Kluyveromyces lactis: one gene and its partner. The protein of the gene in region 2 purifies or fractionates together with the protein of the main gene of each other region. This does not show direct contact. Links are inferred from orthologs where the notes say so. Each region holds a gene or a part of one and is shown on either strand. Other genes may lie near its edges. The genes, in order: CBF5 and DBP3.

Region 1 (3,438 bases), on a different chromosome or scaffold from region 2:
CATTCACTTCAGCAGAAGCAATCTTATCGTATGGCTACATTGTCTGTCGATTAATGCGTTAACTTTCTGACCACACTGTACACTATTTTCAAAAAAATATCCTTCGGTAAATGAAGCACGCAACATAAGTTGAGGACGCAATATAATATGCGAGAGAATACAAGGAGAATTATTCAATGATTGTTAATACTGGTAAAGTAAGAAACGGGACGTTTCATTGTGACACCTCGACTTCTGTTCACAATGTAACCATTTGCATAGATTTTAACCTTCATTTACCTTTTTATTGAGCAAATGACATCATGCAAATAAAAGACATACCAATCTGCAAGTTTCCCGACTTCTATTTGGTTCCGAACAATTGATGTCTGCCAAAAAAAAAAAAACTCCAAGTATTATTATCAAATCTTCTATCTACCTCATACATTTACCATTACTTTTTGCCATTACTTCAATTGAAGACGTAATGGTGTCTTCACACGCGCATAAATAATTTACAAATTTATATATACGAATACAATGATATACAACATCGACACAGGGTACAAAAAACAGTCGTGACGAAATACGTTTTTCAATGATTAAAAATATTCTACAGTGTACATAACCTAAATGATAAACTCTATGCAGTTTTGAAATTTCGATCGATGATATGAAGGACTTAGATTGTAGTCGTTTATTTCTTTGACTTCTTCTTCTTCTTCTCGGAAGACTCATCATCGTCAGCCTTTCTCTTCTTCTCCTTCTTCTCCTTCTTTTCCTTTTTCTCCTTCTTGTCCTTCTTCTCCTTCTTTTCCTTCTTGTCCTTCTTTTCTTCTGGTGTCTTTGATTCTTCCTTTGATTCTTCCTTCTGTTCGACTTCCTTCTTTTCTACTTCTTTGATCAGTGGTTTTTCTTCTGATTTGGATGCAGGGGCGGTAGTTGGTTCAGCATTCTCCAATGAAACGTAAGTCTTCTTCCAGGTCTCTGGAGTATTTTCGTTGGCACGGCCATATTTGTCTAGCTTACCGTCAGCCTTCATTTGTTTTTTCTTTTGGGCAATTGGACCAAGACCCCATCTTCTTGGATATAGGTCTCTTTCCATGATACATCTCTTAACCTTGGCAACAACTCCGTGGTCACAAGTAGCTAAATCGACAGTAGACATTTGAGCAATGGCAACTGCAATGGCCTCACCCTTGGTGGTGATTAATACAACTTCGTCATATAATTCAATACCTTCCTCATAACGAAGTAGACCTGGAATCATCAACTTGGCACCGTAACAAACAGCGTTAACAGCAGAATCTTTGACAACAATTCTTTTGTAACCGACTAATAGAGTTTCTAATGGTTGAATGATCTTTCTTAGGTAGGATTCATCCCTGGTGTTATCGTATACCCATTGTGCATCCATAACATCATGTAGGGTGACCAAGTTATCGTTTTCGGACAAAGCACCGGATCTAACACGACGCAACTCTTGCATATGGCCACCGACACCTAAAAGCATACCAAGATGGACACATAAAGTTCTCATATAAGTACCAGCTTCACAGGAAGCCCAGAAAACACCCAAGTTCCTCTTGTTGTCAAATTCGATCAAGTTGGAGTCATAAATGGTACGGACACGTAATTGACGCTTAACAGCAGAAATTAAAGGAGGTCTTTGGAACAAAGCACCAGTCAAATTTTCTAAACCTCTGCCCAATTCCTTCTCGTCCTTAAGGGCATCGTGCAATCTAACGATACAAACATACTCTTTACCAGCACCTTGTTGAGACTTGACCAATCTGGTAGCTCTGTCAACACAGACGATCAAACAACCAGTGACTTTAGGATCTAAAGTACCAGAATGACCTGTTTTTTCGCAACGCAAGATACGCTTGATCCAAGCAACAACTTCGTGAGAAGATGGGTTTGAAGGTTTGTCCAAATTGATGACACCAGAACTGATATATGACTTCAAATCTCTCTTCAAAGGAGAGGCACCAGCTGGAATTGGTGTGTAATGACCACTTCTGACTAATAGTTTGTCATAGTCCTTCAACAATAAAGGCCACTCACTAGTGTTACTAGATGGTGAAACACTCTCTGGCTTAATAACAAATTCGTCAGACATCGATCTCTATCTTACTTATTAGCTTTCTAACGAACAATCCAGTACACTATCTCCTTCAAATATCGAGAGAAAACAATAAAAGGATAGTAGCAACAATATCGTAAAGCAGAATCTACACTAAAGTGACAGTTTTTAGTCCAGTAAGATGAATCTACTTCTAATAGAACTCTATACTTTTCTTGTTAAAGCTCATCTCATCTCATCGTCTTCATCAAATTTTTTTCTTCAGGTAGAAAATTTTCAGATATCTCAAAAAGCAATTATTTCCGGGTAATGAATTATATTCACCTTGACGTTTAAGTATATATGACAGACATTGGAAATAGCATTGCCAAGTGAGAGTAGTTTTTATAGCCTTCTAGGAAGTGAGTTTGCATTTTTATTTAATGGACTAAACTAGCTGCTAATATGTTCATTATGTTAGGTTAAATTCTGTTAACTTAGTACGCTGTTTTCATTCAGATAGATTCCAAGTACTTGGCGTTATAGTTGTTCTTCAAAGCGCTAGCCCAGTTCCTAGTGGATAACTGTGCGATATTTGAAGTTGAATAATCTGTCTCAATTCCAGTTGAAAATATGGAATCTTCTTTGTCTGGCGATAGCTCTGATGTGTTTTGGTTTTGCTTCCACTCTCGGAGCTTTTGTATAATTTGTTTAGCGTTGTGTTTCGACCTTGAGGAACAGTTGCTATTCACATTGGCTACTTTAAGCTCACGGAGTGAATCATTAAAACCTTGTTTTTGTTCTGATATGTAGTGTAACTCTTCGTTTCTATTGTCTTTATTTTCTATGCCATCACTAACACTTGTAATGGTGATCGCAGGTTTGTATTCTGGTTTGGGCTTGTTGGAGACCATATTGTCTCTGATATTTTGGAACATATCTCTTTTCTTCATAAAATAATTCAAAGTCCGGTTTGTAGACCCGAATCTATCCACATTATTGCTGTATATGGCACTAAGCGCAGATTCTGCTTTAAGAGTAACTTTTAAGGCACTACTTAAAGTTTTCTCGTAATTAGTCCTGTAGCTTTGTAGTTCATTATGATACATGTCAGCATTTTTATCTATTTCACGTTTCATCGCTAACAACCTTTTTTGAAACTTCTCATTGAAAAATGCAAGGTCTTCCTTCTTCTTTTTGATAACCTCGTCATGTTTTGACTTTAAAACTATGTTTTCATTACTTAAAATTGCAACTTTTGTCTCAAGTCCCCTGTATCTGCTCTCATTATTTTTTATTTCTGTCACCTTGTTGTCTATTATCAGATCCAATAGACTGATACGGTGGTTTAACTTAACGATTTCCTCTTCTTTTGAATCCAATGCCTTCTCGTA
Region 2 (3,612 bases):
AATCGTCATTGTACATCTCATTGATTTCATTTTTCACCATTACAGTGACCGTGCTAGCTTGTTCCCATGGTAAATATAACGATGCCAAGTTCGTTTTTGCTACTTTCTATAACGAAACTGGCTGGAAAAATGGAGTCATTGCCTTCATTGTCGGTTTAATCAACCCGGCATGGTCCTTCTCTTGTCTAGATTGTGCCACTCACATGGCTTTTGAAGTGGAAAACCCTGAAAGAGTGATTCCGATCTCTATTCTATGTACAGTGGGCATTGGATTCCTTACTTCTTTCAGTTACGTCATCGCTATGTTCTTCTCTTTACAAGATCTAGAGGCTGTTGCTTCATCCAATACCGGAATGCCAATCTTGGAAATTTTCCGTCAAGCTACCAAATCTACTCCAGGTGCTGTAGTGTTGGGTTGCCTCATCCTTTTCACCTCATTTGGATGTGTTATTGCATGCCATACATGGCAAGCAAGATTGTGTTGGTCATTTGCTAGAGACAACGGTATCCCATACTCTAAATACTGGGCTAAAATTGATCCTGAATTGGGTGTGCCATTGAACGCGCACTTGCTGTCATGTGCCTTGATTTCGCTATTGGGTTGCTTATACATGGCTTCCACCACCGCTTTCAATTCTTTAATTACTGGGTGTATTGCGTTCTTATTGTTCTCATACAGTGTTCCGGTCGTATGTCTGTTGGCGCGTAAACGTAATATTAAACATGGCCCATTTTGGCTAGGAAAATTCGGAGCGTTCTCCAATATCGTTTTATTGGGTTGGAATCTTTTCGCTTTAGTCTTTTTCTGTTTCCCAGCTGTCATGCCAGTGACAAAAGATAACATGAATTATGCATCAGTCGTCATTGTTGGGTTCCTATTATTCTACTTAGGATTCTGGCAATTTAAGGCAAAGAAAGTTTTCTATATCAGAGAAGATGAAAACACCGATAGCAATCAGGAGTCAGTAACAACTGAAGCTTTCCATGCTTATGATGCTAAATGATAAACACTGCTTCCTATCGCATTTCGTTTCTTGTCTTTTTTAACGTTTATTCACCTGTTTAATATACCTACTAAATATAATACTTGCATTGTCTTTTGAATTATTGTTACTAGATATATACGAACTGAGGTACTGCTGTATCGGAATTAATTGAGAATATATTATCAATTATACGGATCCTCCGTTGCTATATTAATTATATATTTGTCTCTTGTTGTAATTCAGCTGGCGTCAGTAAAAAGAAATGTTTTTTGATTATTGAAAATTTTATATAACAAAGCTGAGATGAGATGAGATGACTTAAGTGCTTTCGAATGATATGATTGCAGAATCTGCAGTAGTAGTGATACTTAACCATTAGAGCTCAAGCAAATAGTCCAGAATGTCAAAAGATGAATTAAAGGACAAGAAGAGAAAGGTGGAAGATGAGGAGTTGAAGAGTAAGAAAAAATTGAAGAAGGACAAGAAAGACAAGAAAGACAAGAAAGACAAGAAAGACAAGAAGGATAAGAAGGAGAAGAAAGAAAAGAAGGAGAAAAAGGATAAGAAATCAGAAACTGAAAGCTTTGCTGCTTCTGCCTCTCAATCTGATATTGATGAATTTTTGAAGGAAAATGAGGTTACAGTTAGCGACCCATCAGGTTCCAATATTGTACCATATTTAGACTTTTCCCAAGTGTCGTTTATTGATCAGATTCAAAAGGAAATTTCTAAGTTCCCAAAACCAACTCCAATTCAAGCTGTTTCCTGGCCATATCTATTAGCTGGTAAGGATGTTATCGGTATCGCTGAAACTGGTTCGGGTAAGACTTTTGCTTTCGGTGTTCCAGCTATCAACAACATTGTCACATCAGGAGACAAGTCAAGTTCCGTCAAGGTACTTGTTATCTCACCAACTAGAGAATTGGCCTCTCAAATTTACGATAATTTGATTGTTCTTACTGACGCGTGTGGTTTAAGATCTTGTTGCGTATACGGTGGTGTTCCAAAGGATCAGCAAAGAGAAGATCTGAGGAGATCCCAAGTCGTTGTTGCTACTCCAGGTAGACTGTTGGATCTAATAGAGGAAGGCTCTGTTGATTTGAGTCATGTTAACTACCTGGTCTTGGATGAAGCTGACAGAATGTTGGAAAAAGGTTTTGAGGAAGATATCAAAAAAATCATTAGACAAACAAGATCCACCTCTAGACAAACGTTGATGTTTACCGCGACATGGCCAAAAGAAGTTCGTGAACTTGCTTCAAGTTTCATGAGTGAACCGGTTAAAGTGTCTATTGGTAACAGAGATGAACTGTCAGCAAACAAAAGAATTACTCAGATCGTGGAAGTTGTGGATCCGTTCAGAAAGGAAAAAAAACTGTTGGAACTGTTGAAGAAGTACCATTCAGGCCCAACAAAGAACGACAAAGTTTTGATATTTGCCTTGTACAAAAAGGAAGCCTCTCGTGTTGAAAGAAACTTGAAATACAACGGTTACGATGTTGCTGCCATTCACGGTGATCTTTCTCAACAGCAAAGAACTCAAGCTTTGAATGAATTCAAAGCAGGAAAATGTAACTTACTTTTAGCTACTGATGTGGCAGCCAGAGGTTTAGACATCCCAAACGTGAAAACCGTTATCAATTTGACTTTCCCTCTAACAGTAGAAGATTACGTTCACAGAATTGGTAGAACCGGTCGTGCTGGTCAATACGGTACCGCACACACATTGTTCACTGAGCAAGAAAAGCATCTTGCAGGTGCCCTTGTTAATGTCTTAAATGGTGCTGGTCAACCTGTTCCTGAGGAGCTCAAGAAGTTCGGTACTCACACAAAGAAGAAGGAACATAGTGCGTACGGTGCATTCTTCAAGGATGTGGACCTATCAAAGAAACCAAAAAAGATTACATTTGATTAATTTAAATCCGTTATAAAGACAATTCTTGTATTTTTTAGCAATCACCCCCATTATGTACAGTAGTTCATTCAATACAGAGTAAATAAAAGTTTACAATTACTCTTGCATCGAAGTTTGTACAATGAATGTTCACGATAAAAATTGAAATTAAAGACGTATTAAATATGCGATATTCAAACAATGACTTTGAAAGGCAACGAAGAATGGTGTTGAAAGGGAAAGCATTAAAGTATAAAAGGGGATACTCTATCGAAGATCTTCTTGTACCTTCGCCTTTTATTTTACAGTATTAGTACAATGGAGCAGTGCATAATTTTTGAAATACAACTGAAGTGATAAACAAAAGGAAATTGAGAATCTAAAAGAACATCGAGTACCATCTACGGTGAAGAGTTTGCATCAGTTGAGTGTATTGGCGCATTTCACCCCAGCAGTCTCTACCAAAGTTACACCCAGCCATATTGACAACGAAGTCATGTTCCTTTTCGTTATAGAAATAGCGCAAGTCATACTTGAAATCTGCACAAGCACCTGGTGGGAAAGCATTGATCTGCCTTAGTGGTAGAAATGCGATCTTCTCTCTAATCCAAGGTTCGTTAGCATACAATGCTTCTAAAGCGTCTTGTTCACGATGTTCCCAGACCATATGTTTTTGTTCATATCCGACTGGGTCCCACCATATATCGAGAAGAAGCTCAGTCCATTCAGTGT

Evidence for each region.
Region 1: the proteins of DBP3 (region 2) and CBF5 purify together in Saccharomyces cerevisiae (affinity purification with mass spectrometry; 3 studies listed by BioGRID). This does not show direct contact. The link is inferred for Kluyveromyces lactis from reciprocal best matches to the Saccharomyces cerevisiae genes DBP3 and CBF5.

Annotation. Positions count from the first base shown.
Region 1 is NC_006040.1:407,968-411,405, reverse strand, and holds CBF5 (pseudouridine synthase CBF5), read right to left. Parts: upstream 2,102-3,438; coding exon 677-2,101; downstream 1-676. Other genes in the region: KLLA0_D04774g (uncharacterized protein), read right to left, coding at 2,560-3,438. UniProt on the Saccharomyces cerevisiae protein: Catalytic subunit of H/ACA small nucleolar ribonucleoprotein (H/ACA snoRNP) complex, which catalyzes pseudouridylation of rRNA. This involves the isomerization of uridine such that the ribose is subsequently attached to C5, instead of the normal N1.
Region 2 is NC_006039.1:1,344,490-1,348,101, reverse strand, and holds DBP3 (RNA-dependent ATPase DBP3), read left to right. Parts: upstream 1-1,386; coding exon 1,387-2,901; downstream 2,902-3,612. Other genes in the region: HNM1 (Hnm1p), read left to right, coding at 1-1,004; MNN10 (alpha-1,6-mannosyltransferase), read right to left, coding at 3,260-3,612. UniProt on the Saccharomyces cerevisiae protein: ATP-dependent RNA helicase required for 60S ribosomal subunit synthesis. Involved in efficient pre-rRNA processing, predominantly at site A3, which is necessary for the normal formation of 25S and 5.8S rRNAs.